Arabidopsis thaliana: one gene and its partners. The protein of the gene in region 3 interacts with the protein of the main gene of each other region in a pairwise test. Each region holds a gene or a part of one and is shown on either strand. Other genes may lie near its edges. The genes, in order: FER, RKL1, PIP2A and NHL3.

What was found.
Region 1: the proteins of PIP2A (region 3) and FER come close enough for resonance energy transfer, tested with the Arabidopsis thaliana proteins (one study listed by BioGRID).
Region 2: the proteins of PIP2A (region 3) and RKL1 come close enough for resonance energy transfer, tested with the Arabidopsis thaliana proteins (one study listed by BioGRID).
Region 4: the proteins of PIP2A (region 3) and NHL3 come close enough for resonance energy transfer, tested with the Arabidopsis thaliana proteins (one study listed by BioGRID).

What each region holds. Positions count from the first base shown.
Region 1 is NC_003074.8:19,116,106-19,123,242, forward strand, and holds FER (Malectin/receptor-like protein kinase family protein), read right to left. Parts: upstream 4,845-7,137; 5' UTR 4,675-4,844; intron 4,500-4,674; 5' UTR 4,460-4,499; coding exon 1,772-4,459; 3' UTR 1,479-1,771; downstream 1-1,478. Other genes in the region: AT3G51540 (mucin-5AC-like protein), read left to right, coding at 1-632, 767-1,105; AT3G51560 (Disease resistance protein (TIR-NBS-LRR class) family), read right to left, coding at 5,703-6,323, 6,410-7,137. UniProt on the Arabidopsis thaliana protein: Receptor-like protein kinase that mediates the female control of male gamete delivery during fertilization, including growth cessation of compatible pollen tubes ensuring a reproductive isolation barriers, by regulating MLO7 subcellular polarization upon pollen tube perception in the female gametophyte synergids.
Region 2 is NC_003070.9:17,915,866-17,922,316, forward strand, and holds RKL1 (receptor-like kinase 1), read left to right. Parts: upstream 1-2,341; 5' UTR 2,342-2,609; coding exon 2,610-3,978; intron 3,979-4,279; coding exon 4,280-4,878; 3' UTR 4,879-5,251; downstream 5,252-6,451. Other genes in the region: GLN1;5 (glutamine synthetase 1;5), read left to right, coding at 1-61.
Region 3 is NC_003074.8:19,802,230-19,808,057, reverse strand, and holds PIP2A (plasma membrane intrinsic protein 2A), read left to right. Parts: upstream 1-2,327; 5' UTR 2,328-2,603; coding exon 2,604-2,910; intron 2,911-3,378; coding exon 3,379-3,674; intron 3,675-3,801; coding exon 3,802-3,942; intron 3,943-4,032; coding exon 4,033-4,152; 3' UTR 4,153-4,585; downstream 4,586-5,828. Other genes in the region: LUL2 (RING/U-box superfamily protein), read left to right, coding at 5,784-5,828. UniProt on the Arabidopsis thaliana protein: Water channel required to facilitate the transport of water across cell membrane. Probably involved in root water uptake. Its function is impaired by Hg(2+).
Region 4 is NC_003076.8:1,929,231-1,933,760, reverse strand, and holds NHL3 (NDR1/HIN1-like 3), read left to right. Parts: upstream 1-1,992; 5' UTR 1,993-2,049; coding exon 2,050-2,745; 3' UTR 2,746-2,965; downstream 2,966-4,530. Other genes in the region: AtPOT1b (Nucleic acid-binding, OB-fold-like protein), read right to left, coding at 2,966-3,169, 3,245-3,397, 3,496-3,554, 3,635-3,711, 3,804-4,070, 4,212-4,300, 4,435-4,499. UniProt on the Arabidopsis thaliana protein: Confers resistance to Pseudomonas syringae pv. tomato DC3000 (Pst DC3000).

The DNA of each region.
Region 1 (7,137 bases), 690 kb from region 3:
GCGGTTCAACAATTCGTCCCTCCAACATTCCCACTATCAGATCCTCTTCGGTCCCCAAGAAGACAACAACAACACAAATTCAAGCTTCAGCTTCGGTTTCTTCTCCAAAAAGAACTGTCTCTCGATCTTTGACTCCCTCATCACGCAAAACACCATCACCAACCTCAACTCCTTCAAGAATCAGTACAACTACTTCAACCACTCCTTCCTTCAAAACAGCTGGAGATGCTCAAAGATCAAGATCGTTGACTCCAAGAGCAAAGCCTCAGATTGCAGCAAATGCAAGTAGTAGGACCAATGTGCGTTCTTCGTCTGTAACATCACGTCCTGATAGAAGCACAACAGTTTCAGCAACACCTCGGACACCGCCAAGACTAAAAGAAACAGTCACTCTAGCGTTTGGTAGACCAGTGGGTCATGTTAACTCGCCAAAACGAAACACCTCACCGGATGTTACAAGAACGAGGCCTAAAGGACGCTCTGCTTCTCCTTCTCTGATTCCGACTTTTTCAGGCACCTCACATACAACAACAACTCCCAAGTCTATAAAGCCATCTGCCACTGTTGCCGATTCAACTAGGCCAGGAAGGAAGTTGTCAAGAGCTTCTGTTCAAATGGCTATCAATCACTTGGTAATAACGTTCTCTTGTCATTATTTGATTATAGCTAAATATTTTTGTCATTTATAACGTTTATCGTGGTCAATAGTATAGTAACGTTTTTTATGAGGTTTTGCTTGACGATAATAGTGTCACTTCAAATGCAGGACTTGGCACGAAATGGTAAAGTTAGTACACATACGTTTTCAAGCCCAATGTTGTATCCACACAGCATCAGATCTTCTTCTTCGGGTCTAAGAAAACCGTGTGGTAGTAGTGAAGGCAGCTGCAGCAGCAGCAACCATGAAGAGGAAGATGGAAGAAGCTTAACGAAAGAAGGGAACAACACAGAGAACAAGAACGATAGTGCTCGTTACGACGCACTCTTGAATGTTAAAGATGTCAAGGATACAAACTGGCTACTTAACATTGATGATGAATCTCCTCAATCTCTCATCTTCGACAATGCTTTTGACTCTCCTCCTGATCTATTCTCTCCTCTCTGAGACTCTGACTCCTTTTGAGTTTTCTTTCCTGTTTGTTGTAGTTAAAAACAAGAGAGCTGCTTGGAAAAATAATCCTGTTTCACTCTTTTTAAATTCTTATGCAATCAAGAGAAAAACATTACACATAGTTCTTCTACTCGTTGTTTTTTTCTTTCAAAGTGTTTGTTTGTATTGATCAGCAGAAATATACAACTTTGACCCTTCTTGTTTAAATCAAAATATTTGCAAGAAAAGACACTATTGGTAGGATTCCGTTAAAATGCGTCTATATAGTAAAACAGAGAAGTGATTGATGTACTTCCGTTTATGTTCATAAGAGTACGACTTTGTAATAAATGGGTACTAGTTTGTTCATAAGAGTACGACGTGTAATAGAGTAAAGATGCAACAATTACCAAAAACGTTATAGATAACAAACCAAATAGTACATTGACGCGATTCATGTTTAATGTTTTTGTAGAAAGAAGAAAAAAAAATACATTATTTTTTACACTCTCCATCGTGGCATCAAATACACAAATCCAAAATTCTAAATAAATAACAGCAAAGAGAATAATAATAAATAGTTAAGAGGAAAAAAAATATAAAAAAGAGAAACGAACCGGTCTCCTTTGGATGGAGCCGGTTTAGAAAGGTAGTAGTGTTGTACCGTGTTATAAGACTTCTCTAACGTCCCTTTGGATTCATGATCTGAGAAAACACAGCACTTGGAGTGAGTCCATCTGAATCTTCGCTGGCCAAACTCCTACCACCGATGCTCATATCTATTCCACTGCTCCTCGAGTCCGTCACATTCCCTTCATACACATCAGAACTCTTGTCGTTCTTTCCTTTACAGTTTCCATCATCGTACTTAATCTCATCCATGTCCATGTCACCGCATACTCCTTTTCCGTTCTCTTCTGCGCTTTCCTGGAGCTGCAACGCAAATTCTAAGTTCCACAGAACATCTCCCATTGATGGTCTCTCAATGCCCTGGTCTAGAACACACTTCATCGCGGTTTCAGCAAACTTTTTGAAGCATTCTGGTGTGATCTTGCCCTTGAGGTAGGGATCAACGATTTGATCTAGCATGCCTTTCTTGTAGCAGTATGGTGCCCACTCAGCTAAGCTCACTTGTTCCTTTGCAAGTGTTGGGTTCAAGGCTGGACGAGCGCATAGAGCTTCGAATAGAACAACGCCAAAGGAGTAGACATCGGATTTCTCAGTCAGTTGCTGCCGTCTGAAATACTCTGGGTCAAGATAACCGAAACTTCCTTTCACAACTGTGCTTACGTGTGTGTGGTCTAGTGTAGGACCAGTCTTCGATAGACCAAAATCAGAGACCTTGGCCACCCATTTCTCATCCAATAGAATGTTTGTTGTCTTCACATCTCTATGGATGATTGTGTGTTTTGCACCAGTGTGTAGATAGTGTAAACCTCGGGCTGCTCCAATGCATATCTCAAGACGTTGCTTCCATGGAAGAGAAGGATTCTGGGTTTTGTAGAGATGCTCCCTCATTGTACCATGAGCCATGTAATCATAGACTAAGATCATTTCGCAGTTCTCTTCACAGTATCCAATCAAGGACACAAGATGACGATGTCTAAGCTTTGAAAGCATTTCAATCTCAGTCTGGAACTCATGTACACCTTGCTCGGACATTGGGTTGCCTCTCTTGATGGCTACCTTTGTAGTTCCGCCATCAATCTCTCCTCTGTAAACCTTGCCGAAACCACCAACACCAAGCACCCGGGACTCATCAAAGTTTTTAGTGGCAGCTTTGATCTCAGCAAACGAGAAGTGACGGCAAAGATTTGACGGAAGGGACGAGGCATAACTTCCTGTTGTGTTTGTCTTCGCCGAGCCAGCAGAATGTGAGTTTCCATACAGAGATAGTGGAAGCCACCCTGATGTTGCATCACTAGCAGGCTGGTAATCACCACGCTTACGTCTGCGGTAAGCACCAAACACACAAAACCCAATGATAAGGGCCAGAACAACTGCACCACTGGCTGCGCCTGCAATAATAGCCGTATTGCTTTTCGATTTCCTAGTAGTCGGGCGTAGGACTTTAGATGGATCAGCAGTCACCTGTGGACCAGGTATAGGATTGGTACCAGCCAGATTACCATCAGAAGTATTCATCTTGAATATCTCCACTCCATTAAGAAGAGAATCATAATACTCCGGCTTGTTAACTGGGTTAGGATGAAGAGCAAGCCACAAATCTTGCTGTCCATTTCCCTCTGGAGGATTCACCACGTAATCCTTGTGAAACGGAACCCCGTTTGAACTAGTCCAAGCAATCACATCAGCTTCAGGCTCAGCAGTTTGATTGTTGAGGTAGATTGTAAACACCCGTTGGTTGATCTTAGTGATATTCGAAGAAACCTCACAGAAATGAAGTCTAACAAGGTAAGTGAAACCAGAGTCAATGCTGAAAATCCAAGTAAGATTGTAGTTGAGATTGATCTGAGCTGTTGGACCCATAGACCTCGCGGTTGAATAAACATCCACAGGAGCAACATAAGTAGGAGTCCCCGTAGGATACTTAATCGTCATGTTGGGATCAGCAGTCTCTGGAATACCAAGTCCTGCACCAAATATATAAGGCTGATCATCATACCACGACCTATACAAACCCGTATCCGCGGAAGGCGAGATATCATTCCCTCCAACATTGAGCCTATACACATTCTCAAGAGCAGTACTGTTATCAATAGTAACAGAGCCAGATGATCCAACCATAGTCAAAGTCCCATCAGTACTACTATACATATCAGGCATTGAAGTAACCTCAATCCCATTAACAAACGCATACGCATTAGACGGAGCTGATTCCGGTGTAAACGTCATGTTCAACGTTCCACCTTCAACGTTGACAACAAACTCCTTGATGATGAAAGCGTAAGTCAACGCCTCCGCCGTCTGAGAAGCACTGAAATTCTTGAGAAGAGTGTAAGGACCAAAGGAGACGGAGAATAACGAGTTGGTAGCGTTGAGACCGTCGTACGAGTTTGGGTAGAAGTAGAGACGCACGAATTTACGACCTGATGCTACAGGGAAAGTGTAAGTGAAAGGAGATCGGAAAACTCTCGCCGTCATGTAAGGAACTTCGGGAACGGAAGGATCTTGTGTTAACGCTGGTGATGTTTTAGAGTCTTCAGAGGAAGATGATAAGAATTTTGATTTGACATCGGAGATCCATATACGGTTATCTGTGTCGGTTAGATTAGAAGCACCACCACCGCAATTCAATAGGATTTTCTCTGTTGGAGAGTAATCAGCAGCTGAGATTAAAGTTGCTGCAGATATGAGAAGAAGAAGAAGAAGAAGAGAGAGACGGAATCGTCCCTCTGTGATCTTCATCGATCAAGAGCACTTCTCCGGGAAGATCTTCTTCTCAGATCTATCAAACGAAAGAAAATCGAAACTATAAACTTCACAGATCTAAAAATGGAAAGTGCTAGAGGTACATGTTCGTTTGGTTACGAAAATTGAGCTTAAGAAACAGATGAAATTGAAGTTTGAATACAGTAGTAAGGGAGAGTGAAGTGAGGAAGATGATGATGATGATTACATACCTGAAGAATCGGGGAAGAAACCCTAAGCGATGAAATCGGAGAGAGTTTTTGGAGAAGACAGAGATATTTTGGGGGAGAGAGAGAGAAAATCAATTAATGAGTGGAGAGGTAAGTATAGTCAAGACGACGACAAAACGGACAAGCATTGTTGCTTCCCTCTACGCGTTAACGTTATTTTAATTTCAATAAGATTAAATTAAGATATAGTTATCGGGTTTAATTAATTGAAGCCGGCTTGAAGGTGGGTGAAGTGACGATAATGACCTTTGAGTATCAACAGCTGGAATTATATATGTCTTGACCATTCGAAGGATAATGTTGATTGGTATGGTTTGGATGACAGTTCATAAAATGTGAGAGAGTAAATCCATTAAACTAAAGAAAAGACAAGAGAATTTTATGAAACGCGTATTTTTGTGTGCGGTGGTGACTGCTCGTGGCTGAGCTGGTACTCTATATTATACTATAAAGGGAAAGAATGGGGCCTGCTTTGATAATAACTCGTTAGTTAGTTAGGATAGTTTACGTAATCATGGGCTTTTTACTCTGATTTCAGTTTATCTCCTATGGCCCAGTTATAAGTGGGCCTTATCTAACGTGCACATGATATATGTTTATGACAATCGGCGTAGCCTCCTTTTGATCGATCATGTCTAAGGTAAGGAGTAACCTTGATCTCCGATGTCAAATCCAAGTAACCTTGAATACAAATAAACCGTGGTTAAGGCCGAACGTGTGCAATTTTTTTGGTCTACACCTTCTTGATTCAAAACAGAGTTTGTGATCCTTGTTTTCTCAGTCTTTCAAAATAAAATAAAACTTTAAACCATTACATCAAACATGCACTAAATATTTACATTAACATATCATTAATTCTCTTTCAGACAACACATTTTTTTTTGTTTATGCCAATTTTAAATAATAAAAATTACATTTCAAACATACATGTTTCTGCTACTTCGCATTTGGGCACGCATGAGACGAGTCACATACATACACTCTTCCCAGTTCCCACTCTTAACTTTTCTTCACTCTAGGCAAACACAACCACCAAACCTACCAACTCGCTTAAATCGAAGCTTACCAATCACACTTGAAAGCTTCGGAGAATGATTCTTACTTAAACTCATATCCTTACTTGCATTTGTTACACTCAGACTCGCCGCACCAGTTGCAGCTGTTATAACACAAACATCACATTCTGTCACCATGCAATTACCGCCTAAGACCTTGTTTCTTCCATTTACTGCTTGGAATTCAAATTCAACGTGATCAGCCATTATATTTGGTTTGTTTCCCTCACCACCACCTCGATGCATTTCGGCATCCTCATAAAACACAAACATGTGATCCCTTTGAACCTCAGGAGCTTCTCTCGGAGCCCAACACCTAAACACTTTCTCTGCTTTACCAGTGACCACCCTTTTCTTTGTCTTCCATCTGCTTACGCACCTAACGCCAAGCCCAGCGTTGTTGTGACTATCATCCGAAAACGATACTACAACGAAGATAGCAAACCCCAAGAGTGTCTTTCGCAGGGAAGGAGTTATCTCTATCGTTGCAAATGAACCTGCCCGCAAATTATAAGAGGTTGCCTGATCTGCTCCTGCAGGCCCGCAAATGCTGAATGCAAGTGCTTTGATGAGTTCCTGGTCCCAACAAGAAAAAGGAAAATTACATATACGCTAAAGTATGTATGAGTGAGAAAGAAGGGACATGAGAACGAGAGAGTTACCTGCTGATGTTCGTTGCCAATGCTTGCTACTTTAGCCAGGCCTTTTACAACTCGTTTTCTAGCCACTTTTGGAGACTTATTGAAGCAATCGCTGAAGGTGTAATGACTAGGAAACTGCTCAAATCCCCAAGAAACTGACTCTAGAGACACACAACCATGCACGTTCAACAGTTTCAGGCTTTGGGGAAGCGCCGGAAGCAATATGAGGTTTCTACAATGTCTTAATCTAAGGCTATGTAGTTTAGATAACTGCTTTATGCTTTCAGGGATTTTGCTGAAACCATTCCGACCAAGATCCAACAGCACTACTGAAGGCAAGGAACAAATCTCTTCCGGTATATGCATCAAGGATGCATTGAAGAGGGATAAAGATACTAGGGCATAAAATCTTGGGACCAAGCCATGTAAACTTGAAGATGGCAGCCTTGGTCGAGGCAAATATTCTCTACGCTGCTCTGCATTCTCATTGAAAGTCAAGAGAAGATAATTCAAATTACTGATGCCAATTTCTGATATACCATTCTGGATAATTGATGTTGATACTTCTCTTATGGACATCCCAGATGGATCCGTTAGCTTAAGTGTGACAAGAGATTTTAAGTTACTAATCTCCATTGGAAGATGTTGAAGCCTTTTGCAATTCTGTAAATCTAAAACTACAAGTTCTGAGAGATGCTTGATTAACGATGTCACTTCCTGTATAGCGGTGCCAGCAAGATATAACTCTT
Region 2 (6,451 bases), on a different chromosome or scaffold from region 3:
TTCGTCTAATATGGATCCTTACCTAGTTACCTCCATGATTGCTGAAACCACCATCCTCTAAGCTTTAGACTTTTCTTCGTTTTGGTTCTTTGTATGTTCTTCGAATTTCGGTTTGATATGGTTTAATTTCGCATTTAGACTTTTCTTTCAAATAAGTTACGAAATGTTATGTGATTTCTATTGTTTGATCCGGTTACGGTTCACTTTTAAGCCAAAAAATCTACCGTTATGACTCGAATAATTTGTAACCATCATCCTCGGCTAAGCTTTTTAGTTACATTTGAAGTCATTCAGTGAAGGGCGTTTGCATTGTACCATAGCATCCATATTAGATTATGTTTGAATAAGGGCATTGACCAGGAAAAAAACAATTGAACGGGCCTGACTTTATTAGCCCATATATCAAATTTACCGTCCGTTATTGTTCTTTTACTTTTCTAGTTACGTGTTGGTCCAAAAGAAAGGATTGAGAAACAAGAAACTTGTATACATATCTAGAAGTTAGAACCCATTTCGTTTCAAGCCTAATTAACCTCTACCGTTATGACTTGAATTCGAAGCCGTGTCTATGCAAAAGTTGACCAAAACATTGATTTTTCTTTTCTTATATTCAAGATTCAAGCTATGTCATAGAAGCTACCCTAAAGCTACATGCCTACATTATGCAGTTTTCGTCCATTGATGATTGATCTGTAACGTTTAATTATCAGGTTATAAGCATACACACATTTTTTCCTCGTCTATGATACGGTGAAAGCATTAATATAAGCTATAAGATTATATATCTCGTAGTCGAATGTATAAGTATTTTTTTGTTTTTACTGAACGATGTATATATTATACTTGGATTAATATGGGCTTATAGAGGGATCTAATTAAGAATTAGACGTATCTTGTGGTCAGGTAAAGTCAGTAGATACGTTCACGAAATTCATGTAAAATATATAACTAAATAAACTACTTGATTGGTCCACCTGCACGCATATACTCAACTACATATATGTATATATATGTTCATGCATGTTACGTATAGTTTATTATTGTAAGCCGGTATTTTCTTCATCACAGAAATAAATCAATATAGACGCCAAGAAAAACAAAACCAACTAGAAAAAGTCATTTAATATTTGAATCTTTTACGAGAAAAATAGAATTATAAGTTTCTCGAAACTATCTAACAGAAATTCTCTCCGACCAATGAAGAATAATCAATCTTTTTGGGTATTTGCTCTGGTCTTTCACGAGCAAATGAAACTTATAATTAATGGTAGTATTTGGTGAGAAGAAAAGGAGCCAAACCACATGAAAGAAAAAAAATGTAAATATTAATTGTAGTTGTCGTTTCGTTTCGTGTAACGCCCAACCATGTATCGCAGCACGTTACAGCTTCCTTTTGTTGCTGTATGTGTAAATGATCTAACCTAATACCATACTATTGCAAAGAAATAAAACTATTCCTTTGTCATATACTACTAAATTCTAGGAATAGTTGACACATAACCATAAACTTAAAAGAATTTGTAGATTTCTTACCTCCAAACGGAGTAGGACATGTAGTACATCTTAAAACTAACAGAAAATAAAAACGTTACAAATCATGATCTTGGCCCCTTATAGATAGTCATGATAGTTATCGACAAATAACGTCTAAGCATGCATGCATATTATTGACAAATTACACTTGAGAAAGTTGTATATTTTGAGATCAAATATTTGATAATATGCGCATGCACAACTTATATGGCATCTAACAAATGGTCCCGGACTATAGTAAAGGATGATACATATTATAGGGCCAATGTCGAGAATTTCTTAGATACAAAACAAAACTAAAGGAGGTCTTGTTTACAGAGTGGCCGAGACAGACACAAAACGAAGAAGATTTATTCCAAAAACTTTAATGTAATCAAATGTGGTTGTGAATTTGTGATCATCTTCTAACATGTTACGGTCCTACCAACTCTCTACCCACCCTTTTTCTCCTTTTTTAATTCTATATTAATATTATCAACAACTTCAATCTTATTATACTCCATAACTTAATTCTCTATGTTCCTTAATAATCCATTTTCTAGAGAACAAATGGTTAAGAAAATGTATATTTTTTTAATGTTGTGTATGCATTTTTATCAGGTATTGATGATGAATCGTAAATTTCAAAATAAAATAAAATAAATACTATTGGTTAAGAATTATAGAAAATTGTAATTTCCAAAAAATATATTTATAATCAATTTTTAATATGTTTTTTCTTATGTGTCAAAAATCTAAAAAAATAGATTAATTAGGAACATATAACTAGGGTTCTCAATTATCTAGGAGTCTTTATGCTAATTACAGAATTTAGATTAATATTAGTCTGTTATTTTACTACTTAAAACTGATATTTTAATTCCATTTACTGACAGTAAAAAAAACAGAACAGAAAAAAAACAATGAAAGATGGAAAAAAGGAGAAGAAGAGGATTAGGCTGTTGACTGCTTTCACTCCTTTTACAGCTCTCTTCTTCTCTCTTTAATAATAAAGTTTTCATTTTTATACCTTTCTCTCTCTCTCTCTCTCTCTTCTTCTTCTTCTTCTTCTTCGTCTTCTTCTCTGAATAGTCACAATGCGAGTCTTCTTCTTCCCCAACTCGTCCATGGCGATTCTCTCTGTTTTCCTCTCCCTCCTTCTCCTCTCTCTCCCTCTTCCATCAACTCAAGATCTCAACGCCGACAGAACCGCTCTTCTCTCTCTCCGCTCCGCCGTCGGAGGCCGTACATTTCGCTGGAACATCAAACAAACCTCGCCGTGTAACTGGGCCGGTGTCAAATGCGAGAGTAACAGAGTCACCGCTCTCCGCTTACCCGGCGTTGCTCTCTCCGGTGACATTCCAGAGGGTATTTTCGGTAACTTAACTCAGCTCCGTACACTTAGCCTTCGTCTCAATGCTCTCTCTGGCTCACTCCCTAAAGATCTCAGTACCTCTTCCAATCTCCGACACCTTTACTTACAAGGAAACAGATTCTCCGGCGAGATACCTGAAGTTTTGTTCAGTCTCAGTCACCTCGTGAGGCTTAATCTCGCTTCCAACAGCTTCACCGGAGAAATCTCTTCAGGTTTCACGAACCTCACGAAGCTAAAGACTCTGTTTCTAGAGAATAATCAACTCTCTGGTTCAATCCCTGACTTAGATTTACCTTTGGTTCAATTCAACGTTTCGAATAACTCGTTGAACGGTTCTATACCTAAGAATCTTCAGAGGTTTGAGTCTGATTCGTTTCTACAGACTTCACTTTGTGGCAAACCGCTTAAACTTTGTCCTGATGAAGAAACTGTACCTAGTCAGCCTACTTCTGGTGGAAACAGAACACCACCGAGTGTTGAAGGAAGTGAAGAGAAGAAGAAAAAGAACAAACTTTCCGGTGGAGCTATTGCCGGAATTGTGATCGGATGTGTGGTTGGTTTCGCTTTGATTGTTTTGATACTAATGGTGCTCTGTCGGAAAAAGAGTAATAAGAGATCAAGAGCTGTTGATATCTCAACAATCAAACAGCAAGAACCTGAAATTCCTGGAGATAAAGAAGCGGTGGATAATGGTAATGTCTACTCGGTGTCTGCTGCTGCAGCTGCGGCGATGACTGGAAACGGAAAAGCCAGTGAAGGGAACGGTCCAGCGACGAAGAAGCTTGTGTTCTTTGGTAACGCGACTAAGGTTTTTGATCTTGAAGACTTGTTGAGAGCTTCTGCGGAGGTTCTTGGGAAAGGAACGTTTGGGACGGCGTATAAGGCAGTGCTTGACGCGGTGACGGTTGTGGCGGTGAAGAGGTTGAAGGATGTGATGATGGCTGATAAAGAGTTTAAGGAGAAGATTGAGTTGGTTGGTGCGATGGATCATGAGAACTTGGTGCCATTGAGAGCTTACTATTTCAGCAGAGATGAGAAACTTCTTGTCTATGACTTCATGCCTATGGGAAGCTTATCAGCTCTCTTACATGGTGAGTTCATATCGAAACTTGTGCTTAGATTGAGTTTGGTTTCTTTTGAGGCAAGTCAATGCTTTTAGTGCCTATAGATAGGCTTGAATACATTTAGATTATGGTTAAGTTTAGTGCTTAATCTCTTTGATCATTGATTCTTAACATTGATATGATTTCCATAATACTTTGTATAGTTTCTGTGAATTGGTAGGGACAATGTGTTTAACATTGGATGCTTTGATCTATGAACAATGATTACTACTCTAAGACTTTGGTTTGTTCTCTTTAGTTTCTATAATTGTCTTTTGTCTGTTAACAGGAAACAGAGGAGCGGGAAGGAGTCCACTAAACTGGGATGTTAGATCAAGAATTGCTATTGGTGCAGCTCGTGGTCTAGACTACCTTCACTCACAAGGCACTTCAACATCTCACGGCAACATCAAATCCTCAAACATCCTCTTAACGAAATCCCACGACGCTAAAGTCTCAGACTTTGGCTTAGCCCAGCTCGTGGGATCATCAGCAACAAATCCAAACCGCGCTACGGGTTACCGTGCTCCAGAAGTAACCGATCCGAAACGCGTGTCGCAGAAGGGTGACGTGTACAGTTTCGGAGTGGTGTTGCTTGAGCTGATCACGGGTAAAGCTCCTTCGAACTCGGTGATGAACGAGGAAGGAGTTGATTTGCCGAGATGGGTTAAATCGGTGGCGAGAGATGAGTGGAGGAGAGAAGTTTTCGACTCGGAGTTGCTTAGTTTGGCGACGGATGAAGAAGAGATGATGGCGGAGATGGTGCAGCTAGGGCTTGAGTGTACGTCACAGCATCCGGACCAGAGGCCGGAGATGTCGGAAGTGGTTAGGAAGATGGAGAATTTGCGACCTTATTCTGGTTCAGACCAAGTGAACGAAGCTGATTAAGTCAAAGATTCTTAATTGTTAATTTATTTAATTTGAATGAAATGGTTGGGGAGAAATCAGGTTTATAATTTTAATTTCTAATTTTTGACACAACTTGTCAAAAAGGAGAAGGGGTTTTATTATTAGTGGGTGACTCTGCTGGCATTTGCAGTTGTTTGTGTTGGGCGTGAAGGGATTTGGTGGTGATTTGTAATTATTGTTGTTGCTTCCCTTTCTTAAATCTATTTTCTAAATTGTTACGTATCTTTTTGTCTCTTATGTTACATGTGAGTGTGACTTTTATATCGTAATATAAAGTTGTATACTGTGGTGGCAAACGCAGTTGGTCAGTGTTTTATGAAAAAGATGTGTTCAGTTTTTCGAACAAATACAAAATTGTTTTGATATACAATATTTTTTGGTTGGCCACTTGTGGAATGCCTTTTCCCGGCAGTGTGTTTTGATCATTTGAAATGAGAAAGGTTAGTGTTAATTTATACTAATTTAAATTGCAGTTTAATTTGTTCATTTTTATGTTGTTTCGGTTCCGTATATTTTGCACTTGTTTAGCTTATTATGGTAGATGGAAGTTATATGTAAGAACATGTCATATCAATATAAGAACATGCTTATTATTATCTCTTGCTATCAAAGTGACCCACATCTAATTTAGTTTTGATGGAGAGACAGCTAAATATACCAAAAATAAACACTCAACACATGATTTATGAAAATGAATTGAATGAATACAGAATACCTAATTTGCTATTATGTAAATGTGGACAACTCTTTTAATATTGGGTTGTCAACCATTTTGAATAATTCTTTTTGGTTCACAAAAACCACTATGACTTTTTTTTTTGGCTTGCAAACATTGACAGCTTTAAGAGTAAAGCATTTAATGCTAAAGGTATAAATAGGTGAGAATGGGTGGAACTGCAACAGTACTAAGGCTGCTATAATTGTATGACTCTTTTAGAGAGGTCCCAAAGGTACACATGATAGAGAGGGACCATAAAGAGATATTGGTTTCAAGAGAGAAGACGACATTAAGATAGTGATGATTCTATTTTATGTGCGTTGTCTCTTTACCTACATTTACGGTTGATGCGGCTGCTAATTGCCAATACAAACGCAAACCGCAATCGCTAACTATACATCAGTTTAGCAACATTGGTGTATGTCCCATTAATATGATAGGTTTAAAACTTTGGTTGGAAAAGGTATCACTCGTTGAGAATCTAATGAAAATATGTGACAGAGACAAATTGTCAATATATATAATAAATAATGCACTTTCACTCAGTATACTTGGACAACATTTCACAACCCTTCTATGAAGGTGGAACGCAAAAGCCTAAGAGACCATGTCCCATATATGCTGAACCACAAATCCAAACAAATATCAAACCGCAAAACACCAATAACCGCATTTGCAGATGCGTTTATGCGTCCAAATAAATGTTTTTTTTCTTTTCTTTTCCTCTGTTTTTCTTCATGTCTCTGCATCAGAAAGAGTAAACTCAAAACAAAATCAGTTTGCTATATAGATATCACAAATTTAGTAATTAATAAAGAATGACTTACATGTACA
Region 3 (5,828 bases):
CAGTTCAAATACGTATGGAGGACTAGAAGAGATTTGAAATATGGAGGACTAGAAGAGATTCAATAGAACATGACTTTATATGAATTTATTTGTCCTTTCCGGTACAATAAAATTTGGACTTCATATGACTTTTATATTTTACTCATTTAAGTAATCGGAAATTACAATATAGAAATTTTTGATCTGTAAATATCATGTAAAGTATATATCCAATTGATTATCATTTGAATGCATATTAAATTATTAATTATGAAGACAGATAAATCAATATATGTTTGTTGATCTTGCTGTAGTACATTCTGGACTAATTCTTTCAATTGGAGTGACTAAAAAGGACAAAATTTATGCATAACGACGTCATACTATATGTAACTCGATTTGTCTAGAATATTTAGATAAGGTTAAGACTAGTTTTCTATGAATAGAAGAAAGTGTAAAATATATAAATAAACATACTAATAACAATTAACAACAGAACCAGAACCAGAAAATTCACATTTCTGTGCTTTTATTATCTAAAATTCACTTCGAAAAACATGAGAAAAAAGAGTTGGCTGACGTGGAATATTCGTCTAATAGTAGCCGACCAACGTAGCCAAAACGATAAGGTTTGCCACATGGCAAAACGATAACCATGGAACTGCATCTCCTGTCTTTTGTTTGGTTGTCACAATTTGTCATTTTTATTGGGATTTATTGTTTTGTTATATTTTCGTTTTCAGTCTAATTGTCAGCAATTTTCGCAAAAGATATGAAATTTTGGATATGAAGAGAAAATGCAAATGATTGGTGGGGACAACAAACGTGGCATTATGTGAGTGGTTGAGCGAACAAACGGCTATATGCTGAGATGGATTGGACGGTGACGATACGTTTGTCGGAGGGATCGGGTCGGTTAGTCACGCGCGCCACCCATTCACGTGTCACCTTTTGCCAACACAGACCATATGATTTTAACCTCAGTGGAATCTCGACCCACCCCACAAAACGGCACCATAACTTTACACCCTGGTTTTAGAGAGTGATATACCAACACAACAATTATGAAAAAGGGTTCGTTTAGGCTTTGGTTACTTTATGTTAGTAATATCAACTTAAATGCTAATTTGAGTTATGTGTGATAAGATATACGACGAATCAATTTACTTATCGTCAATTAAGTTTGAAATGAAAGTTTGTGAACGAAATAGTTTATGCTTCTTTAATATTGTGTCATAATTTTGAGTTCCGGCTCTAACATCTTCAAGTAGGGTTTTGTTTTATGACACCTCAAACATACTTAATAACATATGTTGGTGATAGAAAACTAGACCTTCTAGACTACAAAAATGTTTATAATGTAAGAGAATGACCATATATCTATCTATTTTGAAAACAAAGTGTTTTGACTTTGGTGAACAAGAAAAATGTTCTCTATATATACAATGAGACACTCGAATATAACCATGCATGATTAGTTGGATTTGGAGTGAAGAAACTTAGCCATGCTTCGTTGGAGCAAAATAAGGTTTTGGAGTTTTGTTATGTGTTTTCAAGAATGTAAATGCTGATTCGATAAAAAAAAAAAGTGGACGTAAGTTATTTTAAAATGATTTGGCATACAAAAACTGTGGCTTTTTAAATCTGAAAAATCGACAGGCTATGATATTATACGACAAAAAGAAGAGAGCACCATATTGATGATATAGTATATTGGGTCGGTCCTAAAGAAAATGACATTTAGGTGATGGGGGCGGCGAGGCTAAGTTAAAGTAAACAAAAAAAACCTCCATTATTTACCAGAAAAACATATAAAAATTTGATTGACATAAAAACTAATAAATTATTTCAAAGTTGTGGTTCTGATAGCTCTCCACCATCACCACTGATTGATACTTCCTATTGCTACGAGAGATAAAACTATGCAAGTTTATATGAGTGGATATAAAGTCTTGTTTTATGATATCATAAGCTAGCTAATCCCATATCATTATCATGTATTTATAGACGCATGTTCAATAGATTTGGATCAATCTTTTTGTCATGGACTTGGTGCAAACTATAACGTTAAATAGAATAAACTATTCTAATTTAGGATCTAAAATAAACTCGAATCAAATTTTAAAGAAATTTACTGGCTAACTTATTTGAATTTTTCAAATTTCAACGATTGAAAAACTCTAAGTCTGAAATTAAACTAGGGTTCTTGTCTTTACGTATTAGTAACTATGTATGATATTGATATATCAAGCAATCATTAAATAGAATTGGTTCAAAATTTATTTCAGGACAGCTAGTTCATAATCATTTTGTCAAAGCTACTTCCCTCATAATAATAATAATCATAACTCACTCGTATACTTTTATATCCAATTTTTTCATTGAAAATACAAACTTTCATTCCAAAAAAAAACCTCAATACACAAAAAACCAAAAAAACATATAACGTTGGCAAAAATACTAAAAATATTTTTTAAAAGATAAAGCAATAAAAAAGTATACAAACAAATTAACAAGAAGGAGAGCTCTCACTATAAAACAGAGCACATGTTCTTCTCACTAACCACTCCAACAGAGAAGCAAAAGAAAAAAAAGCTATTGTTTGAAAGAAGAAGAAGTTAACTATGGCAAAGGATGTGGAAGCCGTTCCCGGAGAAGGATTTCAGACAAGAGACTATCAAGATCCGCCACCAGCTCCGTTTATTGATGGAGCGGAGCTAAAGAAGTGGTCTTTCTACAGAGCAGTTATCGCAGAGTTCGTAGCCACTCTCCTCTTCTTATACATCACCGTTTTGACAGTCATCGGTTACAAGATTCAGTCCGATACTGATGCCGGTGGCGTAGATTGCGGCGGAGTTGGAATCCTCGGTATCGCTTGGGCCTTTGGTGGTATGATCTTCATCCTCGTCTACTGCACCGCCGGTATCTCTGGTATGATCCTTCTTTAATCTTGATTTTGGTTTGGTTTAGATTAAGATTATACACTTTTTGAGTATTAGAATTACAATTAAACCGAATAAGCTGAATAAGTTTTACTTATGTAAGTACAACTTGCAAACTCAAAATTTAGACAAGTAAAAATTATATGGTATGGTTTTGGTTTGTTTATTCGAAATTAATTATTTTGCAAGGAAAAATATTGCTTGGTTGACATTACTATTTAATCGGTTTAAAATCTTAGGTTTAAAAGACGAAAATGATTTGTTTATAAAACATTTAATAAGGGTCATGATCAAATCGGTTCTTATCCGAATGATATATATCTAATCTAAGCCTAGTAATTATTTTAAGCAACTGACTAACCCTGTCTTAACCAGAATTGAAACCGGTTAATTAATTGCTTGTTGTACCTTAATTCTCAAGTACTGGTAACATTGTCAACTCTTTTTGTTTCCTTAGGTGGTCACATTAACCCAGCGGTGACATTTGGGCTATTCTTGGCACGTAAAGTGTCGTTACCTAGGGCCCTATTGTACATAATCGCTCAGTGTTTGGGTGCGATTTGTGGAGTTGGTTTTGTCAAAGCCTTCCAAAGCTCTTACTACACCCGTTACGGAGGTGGAGCCAACTCTCTAGCCGATGGCTACAGCACAGGGACCGGTCTAGCCGCAGAGATCATTGGTACTTTCGTTCTTGTCTACACCGTCTTCTCTGCCACTGACCCCAAACGTAGTGCCAGAGACTCCCACGTTCCGGTGAGTCACATATGTAGTGCTATTAATCTTCAATATGGTTAACCGACTCAAAACCGGAACCAAAGCAAACCAAACCAACATTTGATTTCAATCATACTAATAAATTTGAATTTTGATGAAATAAAAGGTGTTGGCGCCACTTCCAATCGGATTTGCCGTGTTCATGGTACATTTGGCTACCATTCCCATTACCGGAACCGGAATTAACCCGGCAAGGAGTTTCGGAGCTGCCGTAATCTACAACAAGAGCAAGCCATGGGATGACCACGTAAGACCTCAACGTTTCTCCATTACATTCAACTATATTTTTCATTTTTACAAGGGAATAATGTTTTGAAATTTTGGTGATTACAAACAGTGGATATTTTGGGTTGGACCATTCATTGGAGCTGCGATAGCTGCATTCTACCACCAATTCGTTCTGAGAGCTTCAGGTTCTAAGTCTCTTGGATCATTCAGAAGTGCTGCCAACGTCTAAACACATCAAACCAGATTTCTCAAGAATAAATGAAGTTGTGATCTCTCTGTACAAATCTAAATCAGTCACTTGCAGTTTTCATTTCCCTTTCTTATATTTGTGTTTTCCACTTGCTCTTTTGTGAATTTTCCTTCGGTGTAATTGTTTTTTCTTTCGCTTTTAAACGAGTGATTGGAATTATAATCAATGAAATCAAAGAGGTTCTTATGCGTTGTGTTTACATTAATACTAGTACTAAAGTTAGTTTCCTTAGAGAATAACAACACCATGGGGCCATGTTCTTGGTCTTGTTTACGTCCTCCTCAAGATGCTCAGTGAATAAGCAGGATTTTGGAGAAACACATGTCTCTGCTTTAACGCAATCATTATCTTTCTAGAAAAGACCATTCCTTTATGTCTTCATACATCTCAGGCGGATAAAGCCTAGCGTGCACCAGCAGTAAGTTTTAGTTACTCTCTGAAACCGCCATTGTCCATTAACCCCATATGCCTCAAAGGCTCACAGAAACTGTTACATTCAAGATTCAACATACTTAGTCGTTTGTTACTTGACAATTATGAATCATATAGGAAATGCTCGAACTTGGCTGAGGATTGAGAGTCTTACCCTTCAGAATCTGCATTTTTTATGAGAACGTGAAGAGGTGTGGCCGCTCAAAATTGGCCTCTTGGTGGCCTAGCCTCAGCCTCTGAGACTGCCTACCATCCAAATCCTTTAATTACGAAAGTAAAACATGTGTTAGATGTTTGATCATTTACTGTAAGAAGTACTAATCGAATAAATTGTTATGCGAAGAAGAGAAATGATGATACTACTGCACCATTCAAAGAATTGATGGAGTTTTGAACCTCTCGGGAAGAGCTGAGTGTCACAAACCCAGTAGATCAGATTTGATATCGAGAAAGTTTCTAAAGGGACCTCATACAGTAGTAAGAAAATGACGAATGTAGTGATACAATAGGCTGGGATGCTTACGAACGATTTATGTTGTTTACTCTGGAGATGCTTGGCGGACAATTCAAAGATTTGGCAAACAACATCGCATAATGTACAAGAAAAGGCATATTCACCCCATCTAATACACGTCTCCCGAAGCTTCCTCTGTTCATTAACCGTAGACGAGACCTTCCTGAACCCGTTGCATCTGTGTGGGAAACAAAAAGAAGAAGGAGAAAAACTTGTTGTGCTGGTAAATTATTTCACCTGTGAGTGAGAGGACAAAACACACCTTCTCGTAAGTCTTCTGGCCAGAGCCACCGTGCTGGAAATTTTGGAGGAAATGGACATGCCTGAAAAGTTGTGTCTCCCCTCCGACGTTTGTCCCACATTACAAACGTTTGATCAGGTAAATCCGACCTTGTTTATTATCGAACCTGTAACACAAGAGAGAAGCTTTAGAGAAAGATGGAGCTATCAGCGGAGAGAGGAGATCAACAGAATCTTCGAGCGCAAGTAATCGTTTTGAGTTGAAATAAATATAGGGTAAAACTGGTATTTTATATGGGCCGATACGTGTGGCCCTGTATCTTAGCCCACAAAGTTAGTTGACCTGCTTTTCTGATCATCTTCCTCCCACTCTCTTTCATCTTTTTGTAATCGATTTGCAATTTCAATTTCGCAAAGTTGGATCATGGGCAATGTCATAAGCGGTGGAAGCCGCCCGGAAAATCATCGG
Region 4 (4,530 bases), on a different chromosome or scaffold from region 3:
CTTTACGCCCATCAATCCATGAATATACAATCCTAGTTTGGAACCGAAGTTATACTGTAAAAAAGCAGATGATAAAAACACACAATTGTCTACATAACCTTCCCTTTTTGCCTTTTTGAAGTCATACATTTTATTAAGCGTGTAAATGATCAAGACTTGAATATATACATAAAGATTCGATTTTGTTCATCTAGAGAAATTCATAACCAAAACATAGAATAAACATTCATAACCAAAGGATAACGTAAGTAAAATGAATCATGGAGTTGTATCATTGGTCCACTGGTTAACACGATACAGTTTCGACTTTCGAGTCGTATTGTATTCCAGATTTTAACAATGATTAACAACACAAAATTATGGTGACAACCACCAAATTAGAATTAGTAATAGATTACATGAAAAGTATACCCTATATGTTACTTCCTTAGATATATGTCCATTTAAACTTTAGTGGACATCTATTCAACGCAATTTCTCAATAATTTATTCGGATGAATATCGGAATTGAGTAGATAGGGATCGGTCGTCGGTTCCTCCATTTTCAAAACCCTAAGAACAACCAAAGTCTTCATCATTTATTTGTCCAATTCCAATGATCTATTTCGTCCAAACGGCTAAGATTGAAGGAGTCTTCGTGAAATATTTGTTGTCTAATTTAGTTTAATGTTTTATCACCACACACATTGACACCGCATTAAACTCTAACAAGTTTTTCAAACACGTTTGTTCATCACCAGGTTTTTCTTTAAAATTATTGTGTATTACTTATCATATACAATGAAAATTATTGTTATACCGTATAACACATAAAAATTTCTTAAACTACATTGACTACTTTAATAAATAAATAAAACACATTACATCTCATATTATAAGAATACTTTTTTTAGTTGTTACATTTGTTTTTATAAATCCTCCATAGTTGTTTTAAAGTTTAATATGATTGAGTTGCGATCTAGTATTATTATTCTTTATTAAATATGCTTGACCTTTCTCATTGAAGAAAGATGTAAACATTTGAAAGCATGGCTTCACCTAATCTTCCTTTCAATTACAGGTCACATCATCCAACTCTAAACACCAACCTCCCTTAGTTTTCCTTGCTTTTAGCATTATAACATTAACAAGTCTTTGCAATGTTTAATTTTCTTTGAATTTGAGAAATCTTTCACATTAAACATTTTCATTAATTGATAATTAATTAAATAACCTTTATCAGTAGAACTGTTCTCATAGTTATAAAATAAACATTTGGAAAACCCCACCTCAGTTTCAACTTGCAACCTATAGATCAAAGTTATTTCATTTCATCATGTTATATATATAATGTCGAAATTCTTGACCGGGACTGGTTTGTCTTTTTCTAACTTTGTATAGGCTTATTGATATTTTGGCCACATTTTCTATTTTTGTTCTCAAAAGTCTTTCGTCAAGTTTAAGAAACAATGGCTATATTAGAGCAGTCGCTTTTGGGGAAGTTTCTCGGAAGCTTAGTTACATTGTAAAAATGACTATTCACAATTCACAAACTAACTACCGCACTAAGTATCATCACATTCTCACATGTCTTATATAATAAAAGAATATATAAATAAATATCTACATATGGATATTCTTGTATGCGATCGGCACTAACCTCATTAATCACCAAATCATGTATATATGGATTCAAGAAATAATCTCATTAAGCTTAACCAAAGTATACATAGTCAAATTGAAGAAGAAACCATATAGTAAAATTTAAGAAACAATCTTTAATGTATATCAAACTGTTAATCCTAAATATCTAATAACAATCTCGCAAGTAACCTCTACTTAAATCAAATTTTCATCGAACAATATTAAACCGACGCGTCACCTTTGACTTTGAAAAAACAAAACCGCGTCAAATTAAATCGTTTTATCTAATACACGTTATCTCTACAGTGTATATATATTACGGCCTCTTCTTCTTCACTTCAAATCATATTTACTTTTTCAAAATCTTATCACAAACCAAAAAAAACTTTCTTTCAAAATCGTTCTCTGAGGCATTTTAACGAACAGATGGCGGACTTAAACGGTGCGTATTACGGACCATCGATTCCACCGCCGAAGAAAGTCTCTCACAGCCACGGCAGACGCGGCGGTGGATGCGGTTGTTTAGGTGACTGTCTTGGCTGCTGCGGCTGCTGTATCTTAAGCGTCATCTTCAACATCCTCATAACCATAGCCGTCTTATTAGGCATAGCTGCTCTAATCATCTGGCTCATTTTCAGACCCAACGCTATCAAATTCCACGTCACCGACGCTAAACTCACCGAATTCACACTCGACCCAACCAACAACCTCCGATACAATCTCGATCTCAATTTCACAATCCGTAACCCTAACCGCCGGATCGGTGTTTACTATGATGAAATCGAAGTCAGAGGATACTACGGTGATCAGCGATTCGGTATGAGTAACAACATCTCGAAGTTTTACCAGGGACATAAGAACACGACGGTGGTTGGAACTAAACTCGTGGGACAGCAATTGGTGCTGCTTGACGGCGGAGAGAGGAAGGATTTGAACGAGGATGTGAATTCTCAGATCTATAGGATCGATGCCAAGCTGAGACTTAAGATTAGGTTTAAGTTTGGGTTGATCAAGTCGTGGAGGTTCAAGCCCAAGATCAAGTGCGATCTCAAGGTTCCTCTTACCTCTAATTCAACCAGCGGGTTTGTTTTTCAGCCGACCAAGTGTGACGTTGACTTTTGATTGCTAGTCAAGAGTCAATGCTATTATAGTCTTCTTCGAGTTCATCATATTACACTTGTTTATTGATTCTTATTTTAGATTGTTTTGCTTTATTATCTTCCATACATATCGTTGGAGAGAGATATTTTTCTTATGTAATGTTTTATTGTATGGTTCCATGTAAATAAATAATCACATTTTGTTTAATGCTAATAACTATACAATTAGCATTATGATTGTCTCATGAAGCATTGATCCAAGTATCAAAAATGCGGAATCTTCTGCTTTCCCACTGATCCATTTTGTGTTTGTAGAATGAGAACAAGCAACATTGTACCCATGGAGGATTTCTTGGCACTTTCTCCATCTCTTCACCTCCCAACAATCTATTCAGCTTCTTGACTAGAGCCTCTTCATCAGATTCGTCACACCCGAAAAACTTTTCCTGTAAAAAGATATACAGATATAAGTATTAGACAATCCTTCAATGAACACTAATAATTAATCGTGTTTTACTTACCCCTTCATCAGCATATAGAGAAGCATGGATTCTGGCGGTTGCATCTTCTAGTATAGCTACCAATTTGATATTTCCGTTGATATCACGGAGTTTTCTGACGTCTCGGGGATACACTTGTATGAACCGAACAACACACCTGAATTTAGCAGTCACCTGCATAATAAGCATCAGTAAAACATCAATTCAAGAAAGTTTTCACTATACTCTTTTCCTACAACTTATGATAAATCCAAGGTTTTTGGATACATTACATTGTGATAGGTCAGGATGTCCATCAGAGAAACAAATGGAGCATCGTCATGGGCAACCCCTAGAAAAGATTAAACCATAAGTATTATATTAAACGTTATGTCAAATTTCCACAATTCCAAACAATTAGCTGGTTATTACCTGTGATTTCAGAATGTGAACGACTAATGCAACGCGCGATTGGGTTCCATCTCGGTGAAAACTTCTCCCCACACATTCTGAAATGGTAAGAAAGTGTGTTTTAAACTGAAGAACAAACGGACGAAGCAGAACATCAACTCACAGGATAAGAAAAGGTGTCAGCAGAAACCTTTGAGGACTAAAGGCTTCCATCTCTCTGCTCATTGTGTACTGCATCTTTGTAGAGGGAGTAAAAGTGGCGTTCCATAATCCCATATTTACTTGAAAGAAAAGGTTCAGAAGCTTCACGTGTTGACCAGGTTGAAGACAGTGAATGGCCTGCTTCTCACTAACTCTATCTACTATGATCCTCAAAACGGAACCAAAAGTAGGAAACTTACGTAACATGTATGTAGGCAACATCTCGGGTTCTACACATAAAGGAAGCCTTTCTGACCTATTATGATTGCAAACAAAAACAGAGTGAGATGAGTAACACGTTTGGGATATATGACCAAAATCTAGTAAATGAATATAAGACGCATAAGAGAAACTTATTTTTACTCGTTGTATTTTGGTTGAGGAAATTCAGACTTACTTAACCAAGATGTTGCAGGGTGGCATCTCAGTTCCATCCCAAACAAAGAGGTACCATCTATCTTTATAGACCTTGGAAATGTGAACAATCTTCAAAGGAAACAAACAATGAGAAACAATGTCAAAGACATAGCAGACCATAAAAGACACTTACAGTTCCATAAATACAAATGAACATGAAAAGTAAAACCAAAACATATTCTTTTAAGGAATGATCAATCTACCTGGCAAGATAGGTTTGAACATTCGCCTTCTTTGATATCTTTCAGGGATGTGAAACAGCATGACCCTATCATAAAACAAAACAAAACAAAACCTCA